Ovis aries: one gene and its partners. The protein of the gene in region 1 interacts with the protein of each later gene in a pairwise test. Links are inferred from orthologs where the notes say so. Each region holds a gene or a part of one and is shown in the gene's direction. Other genes may lie near its edges.

What was found. The genes of interacting proteins can lie anywhere in the genome.
Region 2: the proteins of EHHADH (region 1) and CAT interact in a two-hybrid assay, tested with the Homo sapiens proteins (2 studies listed by BioGRID, with this or other methods). The link is inferred for Ovis aries from reciprocal best matches to the Homo sapiens genes EHHADH and CAT.
Region 3: the proteins of EHHADH (region 1) and NECAB2 interact in binary tests that used the Homo sapiens proteins (3 or more experiments, as listed by UniProt). The two-hybrid records come from large-scale screens. The link is inferred for Ovis aries from reciprocal best matches to the Homo sapiens genes EHHADH and NECAB2.

Annotation. Positions count from the first base shown.
Region 1 is NC_056054.1:202,720,114-202,724,445, forward strand, and holds the end of EHHADH (peroxisomal bifunctional enzyme), read left to right. Parts: coding exon 1-1,175; 3' UTR 1,176-2,880; downstream 2,881-4,332. UniProt on the Homo sapiens protein: Peroxisomal trifunctional enzyme possessing 2-enoyl-CoA hydratase, 3-hydroxyacyl-CoA dehydrogenase, and delta 3, delta 2-enoyl-CoA isomerase activities. Catalyzes two of the four reactions of the long chain fatty acids peroxisomal beta-oxidation pathway.
Region 2 is NC_056068.1:63,785,531-63,791,368, forward strand, and holds the start of CAT (catalase), read left to right. Parts: upstream 1-2,362; 5' UTR 2,363-2,406; coding exon 2,407-2,472; exon of another isoform or gene 2,473-5,838. UniProt on the Homo sapiens protein: Catalyzes the degradation of hydrogen peroxide (H(2)O(2)) generated by peroxisomal oxidases to water and oxygen, thereby protecting cells from the toxic effects of hydrogen peroxide.
Region 3 is NC_056067.1:9,829,683-9,835,273, forward strand, and holds the start of NECAB2 (N-terminal EF-hand calcium-binding protein 2), read left to right. Parts: upstream 1-2,115; 5' UTR 2,116-3,060; coding exon 3,061-3,353; intron 3,354-3,433; exon of another isoform or gene 3,434-3,439; coding exon 3,440-3,551; exon of another isoform or gene 3,552-4,336; coding exon of another isoform or gene 4,337-4,410; intron 4,411-4,719; coding exon 4,720-4,744; intron 4,745-5,591. Other genes in the region: OSGIN1 (oxidative stress-induced growth inhibitor 1), read left to right, coding at 1-51. UniProt on the Homo sapiens protein: May act as a signaling scaffold protein that senses intracellular calcium.

The DNA of each region.
Region 1 (4,332 bases):
TAGAGACTGCAAGCAAGATAATAACCTCCATCTTGGAAAAGGAAGCATCCAAAATGCAGCAGAGTGGCCACCCTTGGTCAGGACCAAAACCCAGGTTAACTACATCTATGAAAGAGCTCAGTGGTGTAGATTTAGTCATTGAAGCAGTATATGAGGAAATGAACCTGAAGAAGCGTGTCTTTGCTGAACTATCAGCTATATGCAAGCCAGAAGCATTTTTATGCACCAACACTTCAGCCCTGGACATTGATGAGATTGCTTCTTCCAGTAACCGTCCTCACTTGGTCATTGGCACCCACTTCTTCTCACCAGCTCATGTCATGAAGTTGTTAGAGGTTATTCCCAGCCGATTCTCTTCCCCCACCACCGTTGCCACGGTTATGAATTTATCAAAAAAGATTAAGAAGATTGGAGTAGTTGTAGGCAATTGTTTTGGATTTGTTGGGAATCGAATGCTGAGGTCTTATTATGATCAGACATACTTCTTATTAGAAGAAGGCAGTAAACCAGAGGAGATAGATGAGGTGCTGGAAGAGTTTGGTTTTAAAATGGGACCTTTTAGAGTGTCTGATCTTGCTGGGTTGGATATAGGTTGGAAATCCCGCAAAGGGCAAGGTCTTACTGGACCTACATTGCCTCCAGGAAGTTCTGCCCGGAAGCGAGGTGGCCGGAGATATTGCCCAATTCCTGATATGCTGTGTGAGTCAGGACGGTTTGGTCAGAAGACAGGTAAGGGTTGGTACCTTTATGATAAGCCTCTGGGAAGGATTCACAAACCTGATCCCTGGCTTTCCCAATTTCTGGCACAGTACAGGGAAACATATCACATCAAACCACGTATCATTAGCCGGGATGAGATCCTTGAGCGCTGCCTATATTCACTCATCAATGAGGCATTTCGCATCTTGGAAGAAGGGATGGCAGCTACCCCAGAGCACATTGATGTTATCTATTTACACGGGTATGGATGGCCAAGGCACAAGGGTGGGCCCATGTTCTACGCTTCCACAGTTGGGTTGCCCATGGTACTAGAGAAGTTGCAGAAATACCACAGGCAGAATCCTGATATTCCCCAACTGGAGCCTTGCGACTATCTTAAAAAACTGGCTTCCCAGGGAAACCTTCCTCTGGAACAGTGGCAAAGCTTGGCAGGACCCCCCAGAAGTAAACTGTGATTCAGCCTTTCAGGTTTTGCCTTACCTGCTGGCATCAGGCAACGCTCACTGAATTTCATAGAAACTAATCCAAAGAGATCCAAAGTAAGATTGCTCTGAAATACAAAATGAAAGGAATAATCAGTTGGCTAAAACCCCTCTTTGGATCTTCTGTCTGATGATTCTAATGGGTCAAATCTTCAGGAATGTGCTTCTTATGCCAGCGATCTGTCTGTATCAGATAAATGATTTCAATTGCACTGAATCAACTTGTGTTAACATTGTAATAACTAAGGAGAGAGGCTCAGGAATAAGTTGAGGTTCCCAGTTCCTTGATCATTTGAGAAATATGTCATCAATTATTAATTGATAAATGCATAAATTCATGTTGAGTCTTTCATCCTCACACACGTGGCAGTGATAGGAAATATTATGGACCCTCCATCAATAGATCCTCATTGTTCACCACTAAGCATCTTACACAACACTTAACAGACCTAAAACCTGGAGGGGCATTTATCCAGCAAGGAAGCCTGTGATAAAGGCTTCAGTTCAGAGTCTCAGAGGTAGAGTGGAGACAGTTGGCAGGGTAGGGTCCGCAGTAGGGGTCTGTACGTGTGAACTTGGAAAGCTGCCCAGGGGGAGGCCAGGGGCAAAGTTTCAATGGCAGAAGGGTGTTGAAACTTAAGCAAAACACAGTTGGGAGTTAGTGAGGAAACCACATACTTCAGACCAGAATGGGGAGTCAAAGGAGCTTAAAAAGTCACACTCAATATTATCATTTCTGTCCAAGGCCCGTGTGTACAGTTGTCCTTGCTGCTTGTAAGAGGCTCAGTAATGTCTGATGACAATTTCCTCAAGACCACTAGATGTCTTTATTTACCCTTCTATTCAAGCAGCAGTAATGGAAAGTGAACTCTGGGAGATTGTGAAGGACAGGGAAGCTTGGAGTGCTGCAGTCCTTGAGGTTGCAGAACAGGACATAACTGAGTGATGAACAACAACAACAAATTACAATTGTTAACTTGTTAACTTAGTGTAAGGTGGGAATCTCAGGGGTCTAACCTCCTCTAATTCTGTGATAAACTAATAATACCAGTTTCCCGGTCATAGGAAGCCTTTGTGATGTTGAGTATGAAATGGTTGAATCCTGACAAGTCTAAAATTATTGAAAAACAAATTTTGTGTAATTTTGTTATAAGAATTCTTCTCTTTTTACTTTTTGCCTTGTTTGGTTAAAAGCTGAGGGGCTAGTCAACCCAATAACTTGTACACAAATGTTTAGAGCAGAACTATTCGTAACAGCCCCAAATTGGAAACAATCCAAGTGTCCATCAACTGATGAATGCCTAAATAAAACGTAAACTGGCCATACAGTAGGATATTATTTAGTCATAAAAAGAAGAGAAGTGCTAATACTACAACATGATGAATCTTGAAAATATTATGCTAAGTGAAAACATAGGCAAATCTATTGAGATAGAAAGCAGATTACAGTTTGCCAAAGGCTGAATGATTGAGGGTAGGGAGCAGGGTGTGGCTGCTGATGGGTACAGAGTTTCTTTCTGGGTTAATGAAAATGTTCTGAAATTGTTGTTTCGATGGTTGTATAACTCTGTAAATCTACTTAAAACCATTGAGTTGTATACCCTAAATGTATGAACTGTATGGTATGTGAATTATATCTTAATCAAGTTAATAAACAAGTAAGCAACTTGTTTACTTACTTAGGAAGTCTTGTGGACCCTTCATTCAACAGATACTCTGTGCACCCGTGAACATCTTGCACAGCACTTGGCAGATCAAGAATCTGGAGGGGCATTAATCCAGCAATCCTTTGTCATATAAGGAAACAAATAGGCTTAGGTTATTGTCCTTCAGGGTGATGTGAATGAATTGGTTTTTACAATGTTTTTGCCAAGGAACCCAAGCAAAATTACCAAAAGTTCTAACAGAGAAATCTTGAATGAATATAGTACAAGTTTTCATTGTAAAAAGTAAACCAAAAACAAATAAAAAAAACTTTTAATGTGCTTTGAATTGTAGTTCAATTTAGAATAATTTTTGAGATATATATTGTTGTTTATATGATTAAAGAGAAAAATAGAAAAAATTCCTGAAAATAGTAACTCTGCAAAGTAACTTAGTTTCAAATTAATAAACACATAACTTTTTCTTCTTTAGACCTTGCATAGATTTCAATTTTGAGCTCTTTTTTCTTTTTTTTTTTTGAGTTCTTAAAACTTCTTTTCCTCCTACATTCTCCTCTAGATCAGGGTTTTGACACTAGAGTGTCTATAAATAGATTTTTATGAGTCCATAATCCCTGAAACTTTATGCTAATATTTGTGTGTATGTATCCGACTGTATTTCTTAGAAAAGGTACCATATCTTATCTTATATCATATTCTCTGAAGTGTCTGTGACTCAATAAATGTTAAGGGCCAACATTTTATATGTATCATGGGAAGAAGAAATATGAGTTTATTTATCCTTATTTTGTATCAAAGGAGGCAAAATTGATTCAAACTATTGGGTTCTACACACAGCAGTGGTTAATATGAAGAAACCTTTCCAGGATATACTATCCAATTATTGAAAATGCACTTGCTTAAAGGCTTATTTTGTTGTTATTAAAAAATTTGTAAACTATCTTTCAAAAAAATCACCTTCTGAATGACATTTTAAAAATGTGTTCTAATAGTAATTGACTCTGACAAGAACTACATATTACAAGTACCCTTGAAGCTTTGCCATAATACTCCAGCTTTGAAGATAAGACTAATGATATTCCTTAAATCAGAAAAGCCATTGTGCAGCTATAATTTCTATCTGCTTATTCATTTCCAGCAGAAATAGGTGTGCTTGCAAGAAAGAGAGTGAGAGGTCCTAACTCCCTTAATTAATGATGTTACAGAAATGTGCCTACAAATCATACTCCACAGCACTGTTGTTCAGTCTCTGCCACTCTTTGTGACCCTACAGCCTGTAATACACCAGGCTTCTCTGTCCTCCACCGTCCCCTGGAGTTTGCTCAGATTCATGTCCATTGAGTTGGTGATGCCTTCCAACCATCTAATCCTCTGCCACCCTCTTCTCCTCCTGCCCTCAATCTTTCCCAGCATCAGGGTCTTTTCCAATGAGTTGGCTCTTTGCATCAGGTGGCCGAAGTATTGGA
Region 2 (5,838 bases), on another chromosome or scaffold:
ATGACCTGGAGAGAGATTGCATTTGATCCAATTCCCAGTGAAAACGAGAAAGAATCAAAAATCCTACCACTTTAAGACACTGTGCAGGTTTGATCCCTGGTTGGGGAACTAAGGCCATGTGGTGCAGCCAAAAGAAAAAAAGAAAGAAAAGTCCTACCACTGAGCAGCTGAGGCCCAGGAAACAAAGGGCCTTTAACATAAGGAGACATATAAATCAGCAGGTACGGGAGATGAGATTTACATAGAACCACTGGGGAAATCATGTACATCATTCCATAAATCATGTACATAAATACTTGAAAGTTCTCTATGGGTACTGTATTTTCTTTTCTTCCTTAGGGCCTTTTAATAGATCCAATGATCATAACGTGACTTGGCAAAAAATTTTTGGTAGCCCTCCCTAGCTCCTTCTACTTAATTTAAGCTTGAAAGACTTATTCTCATGCAAATAATATTATAGACAGTGGTTAGATTACCAGTTCTAACCACAAAAATCCTTTTTTTATACAAATGTGACTGAACTAGACTCCCAAGAGTATGTGAACATTTCCAAGGCCAAGTTCAGTTCAGTTCAGTTCAGTTCAGTTGCTCAGTCGTGTCCGACTCTGTGACCCCATGAATCGCAGCATGCCAGGCCTCCCTGTCCATCACTATCTCCCGGAGTTCAAGCTCAAGTATAAAAAGTGATATGAACCCACAGTAAAAGAAAAGAATGGCAGCCTATTTGGAATAAGGCAACTCCTGACCAGAAGAGGATGGAAACGACTAGGGGAAGGGAAGTGTGATGCCCTATGAGTGGGAGGTTCACACAGTGGAAGAAAAGAGCAATAACGTGGCCTCAGGATGAGAAGTAGTAGGAGTACAGATCTCTATTGAGGTCTGGGAGGACCATTTTCCCCCAGCTTTATTATGCCAAGTCTCAGACTTTGTAAACAATCTCTCTAGCTGGGTATAACCAAGTCTCTTTTCACACTTTACCTAATTTAAACGTCTTGACAAGAGTAAGACACCAATTGAAGATATTTTCATAGAATAAGCCATTTTTGCACTGTTGAACTCGAGCAATTTTCTTCTGGAATATCACAAAATACATTGTTATTTCACTTATTAAAATGCATTGCTCAAACACCTCAAAAATTAGTCACATTGACTTAGGGAAGACATTTCCTAAACTCTAAGGCAGCATTTCTGTTAATAAATAGTGGGTTTGGACATCTTATTTAACTTAGTTAATTATTCTACATCAGGAGCAAGCCAACCTCTTCATGCTTGTTTATAGTCTGTCATGGTGGGGAGACTTCACTGACCTTTATATTTTTTTTTGTTGTGAAGATTAAGTGGTAGAGTTTGGCAACCATCAGCAGTGTCCAGCACATAGCAGACACTCAAAAAGGGGAACTTCTAAACCAAAAAGGGAATCTAAAGGACTGAGTTTTTGTCCTACGTATTTTAGACTATTAAGATTTAGATCTTGCAAATATTTCACTTTTCTGTGCTTTTTACTTTTATTTTTAAAAGCTTTTTATTTTATACAGGAGTATAGCCAACCAACATTGTTGTGATAGTTTAAGGTGGACAGCAAAGAGATTCAGCCATACATACACACCTATCCATTTTCCCCCAGATTACAGGCCCATCTAGGCTGCCACATAACACTGAGCAGAGTTCCCTGGGCTATACAGCAGATCCTTGTTGGCTAACCATTTTTAAATGTATACATATCATTGTATAGCAGTGTATACATGTCATCTCTAATCTTTGACAAAGAAAAATTATGCGACATTTGCGAGTGTGATCACTGGTCATACTTAAATATAGAACCAGTATTTGCATTTATTCCAAATTCCACCAATCCTTTCAGTTGTAAACAAAATTATTAACATTGGAGCATGACAAACCTTCATTTTGCACAGAGGAACTCAACGGTGGATTTCTTTTTCTCTGCTTTTTAAGAGCTGAGAGCATGTTACCAGAGTTCAAAGCCCCACCCAGCAGGGCCTAAGCATTCCCTCAAAAAAACTGGCAGACCACCAACCGCTACCTCCCAGGGCACCCTGAAGGATACTGATAAGCCGAGGAGACAGTCACATCCGGGTACGCGGGGGCCAAACCCAAATTAGTTAATCTGGAGTTTGGGGGTCGGAGGTGAGGAGGCGCCGTTCCTTTTCCTATCTCTCCCCAGCCTCTCCTCTCCCCGAGTCCTTGCTCCTCAGCCCTGCCCCTACTTGGCTTCCAATCCCATTCCGCCTGGAGCTCAAGTGGCCAATCAGGTGGCGGCCCTGCCGAGGGGGCGGGATGGGGGGGCGGAGCTGAGTGGCGGAGTCTGAAGTCGCCTATTTCAGCTGCGGCGCTGGAGACGCGTGAGCCGAGCCCACCTGCAAAGTTCTGCAGCGCCGCTCAGACACCATGGCGGACAACCGGGATCCAGCCAGCGACCAGATGAAACATTGGAAGGAGCAGAGGGCCGCGCAGGTACACCCTGCGCTCTCCGAGCCGGCCCTACGGTCCGCGTAGGAAGCTGGGTGTCCTCAAGTAACGGCCCCTGCTGCCCCAGCGCGGAGGTTCTGGGGAGGGAGGGCTGTACCATCGATCGCGGGGGGCCTAGGGGTGTGCGTGTGCTTCCTTTCCGTCTGGTTGGGCTGTTACATTCGCGGGCGGGAGGGGAGAGGGTTCTGGGCCCCGGGGGCAGCGGTCCTGCAGGATTTGTGGTAGGCTGCAGGTCGTGGGTGGTTGGCTTACAGTTTTGCGCCTTTGCCAGCTGGGACAGAGGTTGCAGTTTGAGGCAGCAGTGAAGGCTTATGGGGAAAGAGGCAGAGAGCTGCAGCTGCAAGAAAGGAAGTGACGGGGAAGCAGGAGCAGGCTCTAGCTTTGCCCTCGCTCAAACAATAACTACCAGCTTTCGTATTTGGGGTGGGGGGTGTCTTGGGGGCAGGAAACGTCTTTTATCATCTCCATGTCCCCAGCACTGAACATAAAGCATTGTTTGTGTGTTAGTTGCTCAGTCGTGTCCGACTCTCTGTAACCCCATGAACTGTAGCCCACAGACAGACTGCTCTGTCCATGGAATTATCCAGGCAAGAATGCTGGAGTGGGTTGCCATTCCCTTCTCCAGGGGATCTTCCCGACCCAGGGATGGAACCCAGGTCTCCCGTGTTGCAGGCAGATTCTTTACCATCTGGGCCACCAGGGAAGCGCACATACAGCATTAAACAGCTAAATAAAAGAATTTTTATACCCATGATTTCTTTTGCACTTAAAAACATCGTCTAGCATTTTAGAGCTAAAAGTGACCTTAGTGATTAATTAATGCATTTATTTACACCTATGCTTTGAGTGCCAGCGTGTGCTAGGCACAGCGCTGGGGCAAGTGGAGCAAATTCCAGTGAGGCCGAAAGCTCAAAGTCAAGTTTGGGAGACAAGACAGGTGAATAGATGGTTACCTTCCACCGTGGCCAGGGCGCTGATATAGGTTATCTGCTGAGTGTAAAGGGAGTGACTGACCTGGTTGGCAGGCTTCTCAAAGCAGGTGACATCTGAACAAGAGCTTTACAGCTGAGTAGGAATTCAGCCCTGTAGTGGTTGGCCAGTCATTCCTGGCCTGTACCCCTAGGATGCAGAGCATTAAAGGGCATCTGTGAGCAGGTTGAGTGGGATGGGAGCACTTCTGTTTTGAGTCTTCTTTTGTCAAATTGGCCTAGAGAGTCTTCGGGACTTGCCCGGTTCCCATGGCGGCTGGTTAATGGCAGAGAGGACTAGAGTCATGCTTTCCTCATCTTCGCTCTTTCTTCTTTTTAAAATTCATTTTTAATTGGAGGTTAATTGCTTTACGATATTGTGTTGGTTTCTACCATACATCACCATGAATCAGCCATAGGCAAGCATATGTCCCTTCCCTCCTGAACCTCCCTCCCACCTCATGCCACCCGTCTAGGTAGTGACAGGGTACCCATTTAGTGCTCTTCCTTAAGACCGGGTTAGTGTTCATGAATTAGGATTAATGCTGAGTGCTCATGGGTTACCTTGTAGTTCCCTGTTTGTGAGAAGGCTACCATTCTCTTTAGAGGGCCTGGAAAATCTCTTTTCTCATTTTGTTCCTTATTATGTGCTACTAGGGTTTTGGCTTTTCATGAGTTCTTAGGCAAAGTGAACCAGAGAGACTTAGCATCTTATCAGTCAAGGACAAGTGGCTAGTCAGTGGCAGAGTGAAGATTAGACTCTGCTTCCTAGAGCCAGGACTCTCTGTATGCCCAGTGGTTGCTGCATCTTGGTTCACACGGAGGCTTTCATGAATCCTCGGTGAATTGGAAAAAATATGGGCAAGTGAGTTTCGCATAAAACAAAATTCATTTTTTTGGAAGGGCTCCGTTGAGACTAGCTTGCCTTGTCACTGTTCGGGAGAATCATTAACTGTTGTTAAATCATTAAGATCTTGCTGGTGACTTGCCCTACATGGTCACCCATGTGAGAAACAGCTGGCCTGCAAAGTGTATCTATAATCTGGGGACCCCTAGTTGAAATACTTCCGTCTCCTCTGCCCATGCATCTCAGTGCGCTGTTTACATTGTCCTGATTGGCAGGCACATTGGTGTCTTGTTTCTCCTGACTTGAGCTGCTCTGAGTGAAAGCTGCGTATTTTTATAGGAGACTGCCCACTTCCCAAAGGAATTTTGCATCTGTCCATACCCTTTGTAATTTCCTAATGCTTTCTTTGGAAAATTTTTAAACATTCAGAAAAGTGAGAAAAATTGTGTAGTATATGCCTATATACCCACCACATTTTTAAAAATTTCTTTTAACATGTTATTCCATATCTGTCTGTCCCTTCATTCATCCCTTAACCTGTGTTTTGGAGGGGCACTTCAGGGTATGTTGTAGACATCAGTAGACTTGATGCAAATTACCAGAATTCATTGTTTAATTCATGTTTTTAAGGCAAAATTTATATACAAAAATATACAAATATGAAGTGTACCAATCTGTGCTTTTTGATAAATATAAACACCTGTGAATCTGGTTCTTTTATCAAGATGTAGACGATTCTCATCACCCTGGAATGTTTCCTCATGCCATTTCCCATCTTTCCCTGCTTCTCCTGCAGTTCTGCTCCAGGCAACCACTGATGATTTTGCTTTTTAACCATTGATTTAGGAACTTTTTTGTAACACTGCTTTCATTCAGCAAATATGTTTTAAGATTTTTTAAAAATGTTTTAGGATTCGTTCCTGTCATTGCATGTGTTGCTGAGTACTAGTACTGCTGCTGATTAGAGCACCATTGTCTGATTAGAGCACCGTGTCCTTATCCTGTTGTTGGGCACCTGGACTATTCCCAGTGTGTGGCTGTTATGAATTAAGTTTCTATAAACAGTCTTATATAAGTCTTTTTGTGCACATATACTTTTATTTCTCTTAAAAAATGCCTGTGAATAGAATTGCCGAGTAAGTGATAAGGCAAGTGAATGTCTTATGAGAAATTCCTAAGCCTTCTTCTGATGTGGTTTACCATTTTACACTTCTGTCAACAGTGTTTGAGAGTTACATTGGTCCACATCCTGCCATCCTTTGGGATTGTCATTCTTTTAAGTTTAGCCTTTCTGGTGAATAAGAAGTGATATTTGCCTTGCTCTGATGACCAGTGATGCATCTTTTCATGTGCCTATTTGACCTCTGGTATACAATATTTCTTCCCTGGTGGCTCAGATGCTAAAGAATCTGCCCGCAATGCAGGAGACCTGGGTTCGATCCCTGGGTCAGGAAGATCCCCTGGAAGCAGAAAGGGCAACCCACTCCAGTATTGTTGCCTGGAGAATTCATGGACAGAGGAGTCTAGTGGGCTACA
Region 3 (5,591 bases), on another chromosome or scaffold:
CTGGCTGTGGCCAGCTCCCTGCTGCGCAAGGAGGCCAGGAAGCCACCCTAGCACCCGCCCAGCAGCCTGACACCCAGGCCCTAAGAGGAGGGAGATCACCACAGCCCTGCTGGACGCAGAGTCCGTCCCAAGATGCCCCAGTGATGGAAGGGGCCTCTCCTGCAGGAGACAGGAGCGGCCATGAGCCCACGCAGCAGGCCTCTCAGATGAAGAGTGGGAAACCCAGACTGCCCGGACTCAGACCAGGGTGGAAACAGTGGCCACAGGACACGGTAGGCCCAGAGCTGTAATTGGGGGTGAAGTGGCCTGTGTGAGCCGGGATCACCAGGGCCCGCAGAGCACTGAGCCAGGACTTCCAGGCCCCGCTCTTTCCAGAATCAGGTCCCAAATAAAACCAGCACCTGCCTCCACTCCTGTGTCCGAGGACTCTGCTTGGGGAGGGCGCCAGGTGCCCAGGACCCTGCCCCCGGAGCTGCCCAGTCAGGGCAGGGGCAGAAGCACAGGGTCATGTGGGAGAAGGTCCCGGGGCTGGGGGACACTGGGTGGTGCCCCAAGTGGAAGGGTAGATGTGACTGAGGAGCGGGTGCCGGGGAGGCTTTCCCAGCCCCACTCAGTCCCTCTCCCTTCAGTGGCTCCTTTGTGATCCCCACACTTGCACCTGCCACAGGGCCTTTGCACAGGCTAAGCTCTAGCCCAGGGAACTTCCCCATCCTCTCTGTAACTCCTCCTCCTCCTTACACTCTTGGAGCATAAGGACCATTTCCTCTAGGAAGCCTCTTCTGACATATGCCCCTCCGTGGCCCTCAGGTAGAACCCACTCTGGTGGGTCAGGGTGCCACCCTTCATTGCAGTTCAGTTCTCACTCTTCCTTACTTGTGGGATCATTCCAGTGTTTGGAGAAGGAAATGGCAACCCACTCCAGTATTCTTGCCTGGAGAATCCCATGAACGGAGGAGCTTGGTGGGCTACAGTCCACGGGTCGCAAAGAGTCGGACACGACTGAGAGACTTCACTTTCACTTTCACTTCCAGTATCTGGCTCCACCCACTTGGCTGTAAGCTCCAGGAGGCCAAGGCAAGCCCTCCTGTTTTCCCGATGTTCTTGGAACCCAGTGCGGCCACCAGGCCTAGCACCCAGCAGGGGCTCCTTTAATTCTCTGGTTCGGTGGGTGGGAGTCTGGAAGGATGGACGCAGGGAGTATAAGGGGAAGAGGGTGTTCCAGGGGTGGGGAACACTAGTTCTGGGCGTTGTTTAACTCGCGGGGGAGGTCTGAGGGGCGTGCACCCGGTGGAAGGGACGAGTGGGTACTTGCGGAGTGGAGAAGGCCCCAGTGCGTGGGCGCGCGTTCCTTGGGCTGCAGCCGGCAGAGGGCGCTACCGGCTCGCCGGACACAGCGCTCCGGCCCCGGCGGCGGCGCCACGGAGTGGAGGAGGGGGGATTCTTCTGGAGGGCGGGCAGGGGGAGACTTTCGGAATGGGGGCAGCCCCCAGGGATGCACCCCCGAAGCCAGACCCCCAAAACCCCGCGCCTGCCAGGCAGCCCCCTCCGTGGCCGGGCCGGGGTCTAGCTCCCCAGCCCCGCGGCCCACTGCCGGCAGCCCCCTGCCGCCGCGCCCGGCCGCCGGGGGCGGGGGCGGTGGCCCACGGGGCACGTGGCTCCGGGTCCGGGCGGGGCGGCGCCCACCCCCTCCCGTCCCCCAGCGCCGGCCCGTCCCCGCGTGGCCGCGGCCGCGGGGGCAGAGGGAGGGAGGGCGGGGCGCGGGCGGCGGCGGCGGGCGGCGCCGGGGAGGGGGTCGCGCGGGGGCGGGCCGCGGGCCGGGCGGGGGTCGGCGGGCTTCCGGGCGGCGGCGGCGGCGGGCGCGGCGCGATGTGCGAGCGGGCGGCGCGCCTGTGCAGGGCCGGCGCGCACAGGCTGCTCCGGGAGCCGCCGCCGCAGGGCCGGGCGCTGGGCGGGCTGCTGCGCTGGGTGGGCGCCAGGATGGGCGAGCCCCGGGCGCCGCTGGCCCCCGACGCCCCCAACACCCCCGTCGCGGACCCCGGCCCCTACCCGGGCCCCGCCTCGCCGCGCGGGGGCACCGCCGTCATCCTGGACGTGAGTACGCGCGGGCCGGGACCCGTTCTCCCCACCGGGCGACGCGGACGCCACGCTCCCGGGACCCCGCTGGGACCTGCAAGACCCCCTTCTGCTTGAGGGGCAGGGGTCCCCGGGCAGGGACGCTGGCCCGCACCCCGGGGGTCCAGAGCGGGATCCACCGGCTCCTCCTTGTGCAGAGCGCGGCCCCCAGCTCTTCGGCCCCCGGGCCGGTCTCCGTGCGGGTCCCGTCTCGTCCCCGGACCGGGACGACCCCTTTACCTCCCTCCCCTTCTCGGGATCTCCACATTCTCGGAGCCGGGACCCTGGAGCCCCTCGACCCGGCCACCGCCCCCTACTTCTGTCCTGGCCAAACCCTCATCTTTCTCCAGCCCGCGCTTCATCCTTCACCCAGCTCCTTCCCGGGACGCGAGTCCCAGACCGCCGTCGGCCCCTGCTCCTGCCCGCCCCACCGACCCCTGCCCCCCGTCCTTACTTTTCTAAGACTCTCCCCCCAACCCACCCCATCACACACACAATCCCTGGGTCCAGGGCCATTTTTCTTGTCCGAGCTTTGGACCTTAAGCCCTTGTATCCTCAACCCTTTTGCCTCAGGCACCACCTTTTTAAAAGCAAAGCCCCCTCCCCACCTGCCTTCCTCTCTCCTTTCAGTAGGACTGGAGCCATCCCCCATCCTCTCTGAGGACCACCACTCCATTCTGAGCCAGTCCTTGATCCCCTTCCCCCGCTCCCCCCTCCCTCTCCCTCTCCTCACCCCTCCCTCTCCCTTTCCTCACCCCTCCCCCTGCTCACCCCCTCCCCTTTTCACCCTCTCTCCTCCTCACCCCCACTCCGCACCCCTCCCCCACGTCCTCTGGAGCCCAAACCGCCCCACCTCACCCTCCCACCCACTCTCCTCTGTAGGAGGGAGCCTTCTGCAGGGTGGGGGGGCGTCCCCCGTGGGGTGCTCTGCCCACCCCAAGGGGCAGCATGGCAGTGGGGTGTGCCTGTCCTAGGGAGGGTCCTCCGAGGTGGGTGACACGGGGCTGGGGGTGCCATGTTTATGTATGGTGGGTGGGTTTCAGGGAGAGGTGTGTGTATCACATCCTGGTGAGAGGGGGACAGTGTGGGTTTCCTCTCGCCCCTCCACCCCCACCACGTTCCTGTTGGAGCCTCCATCGCTGGCTCTCAGCCGACAGGGCAGGGGGTGATCTGCCGCACGTGGCCATGGCTCCCAGGCTTCCCAGAACGTGCTCACACACAGCCCACTCGCACCTGCACAGGTGAGCCCTCTCAAAGCCCCAGTGAGTTCGCAGCTGAAAGCCCTTGCAGCGGACAGCTCTGTCCAGGCCCCCCCCCTTTTGCACAGGACAGGACGTGGACTCTGGAGTCCTCACGCCACGCTGCTGGCTCTGAGCCCCAGTCTCCTCATCTGTGAAATGGGGGTGATGAGCGAGTGCCAGGGCCACATCTCCTGTCAGGTCAGTCACTTTAACGCTCACCCCCGGCCCCGGCACCTGAAGGTGGGACTCCAGCCTCCTCGGGAACCTTGCAGTCAGGAGCAGGCAGTGTGCGGTGCACAAGCTGGGGTGCTGGCAGCTGCCCCCTTTTCTGCCCCAGCTGCTCCAGACCTGTGTCCCCTGCCCCAACTTGGGGTTCAGCTCAAGAAAGGGGGAATGTTTGAGAATATCTTTCCTGAGCTGCTGCTTCAGTTTGTCACAGCCCGGGTGCCTGACAATGGATGCCTGCCCTACTGCTTGGAGGGAGGGGCCCAGCTCCCGCTCTCCAAGGTGTGAGGGTCACACGCTGGGGGCGGCGTCTCCCCCTCTTCCTACCTTCAGCAAGGCTTGCGTGCACGCGTGCTAAGTCACTCAGAAGGGTCCGACTCTGCGACCCCATGGACTGTAGCCTGCCAGACTCCTTTGTCCATGGAATTCTCCAGGCCAGATACTGGAGTGGGTAGCCTTTCCCTTCTCCAGGGGATCTTCCTGACCCAAGGATCGAACCCAGGTCTCGCACATTGCAGGTGGATTCTTTACCATCTGAGCCACCAGGGCAGCCCCCAGCAAGGCTTACTAGGACTAAAAACACCAGGAGGAGCTATCTGGTTTCAGCTGCAGCTGGAGGGGACCAGGCTGCCCCTTCCCTCCCCGCCTCTCTTTCTGAGCTGCTTGCGGGCTGCTCCTACCCACTGACCACCCCCAAAAAACTAATCCCGCCGTGCACTGGCTGATCCTGTCGTCAGGCCTCGAGGTTTGCTTGGCAGATGCCTCTGTTCAGATTTAACCCACCCTCCCTGGAGAACACCAGGCCCTCGAGAGGTCCTAGTGGGGGTGTAAGGTGAGTGGCTGCCTCCCACGGACGGGAGTGGGGAGCACGCAGCCGCCTGTGGGTGCTGCACGTGGGCCAAAGGTTCTGGACACACACCCGTGCGGCGTGCTCTCGACCGCATGGCCAGCAGCGCCTGAGGAAGAGGGGAGGCTGTCTCCTCGAGGGGAGCTGGAGGGCCACTGCCTGAAACACCCTTCCACCCCCGGGTCTCCTCCCTCAGGAGGGAAAAGGGGCCCGGCTTCCGCAGGTCCACTGGGCTGGGGGTGTTGGAAGCCTGCCCCTCCCAGCCGACACTGACTCGACCTCTCTTCTCTGCAGATTTTCCGCCGTGCGGACAAAAACGGTGAGTCTTCCCACACCCCGCGAGGCTGTCCCCGTGTGAGGACCTGGCTCTTTCTGGTTGGGGGTGCAGGACGCTGCCCTGCGCCTGTTTCTCCATCCTACGAGGGACCCCTGTGGTTCCTACTGAGCAGGGGAGCCATGCGGCTTCAGCGGGCAGGTGTGGGCAGTGCGGTGAGTTATGCGTGCAGTCAGCGCTTCGTGCACTTCCACCACCTACAGCTGGGCCAGGCCAAAGCCGCCCTGGGGGCCGCCCAGGAAGCCCCCAGCCTCACCTCGGGCCCCGGCACACTTTTTCCTCAGACGTCCATGCTGTCGCCCCTGTTCTGTCAGCTCCATGGTGGCCCAGAGAGGTTCTGTGTCTTACCTGGGGTCACCCAGCTGCAGGAAGGCAGTCCAGCCTCTGTTGCAGACCCCTGGCTCTCCCTCCACCCCCCCCACTGCCGTCCCCCCAAAGAGACTTCCCACACAAAGTGAGAATCGTGTTGCGGTCCATGAATTCAGGACACCCGCTGGAGACTGCTCCACCCCGGCCTTTCTGGAAGGCAGGGGCCCCCTGAGCCTCACGGTGGCCGCCGGGAGTGATTGTCTACATACTGGAATCGTCATTCATGGGTTGAAGCAGCTCTCCGTGGTCTTGAACCAGGACATAGTCCCGCTTCAGGCCTCAGTTTTGCCATCTCTAAAGTGGGGTGATAACACTTAACCTGTCTACATTCCAGGGCTGTTGGGAAAATGAAGGGAGGAGACATGGCTGGTGAGCTTTGTGAGAGAGAAGCAGGCAGAGTTCAGTGTTAATTCCTTGAGAAAATACTGATTTAATTTGAGTATCCAGGCCCCTGCCGAGGGAG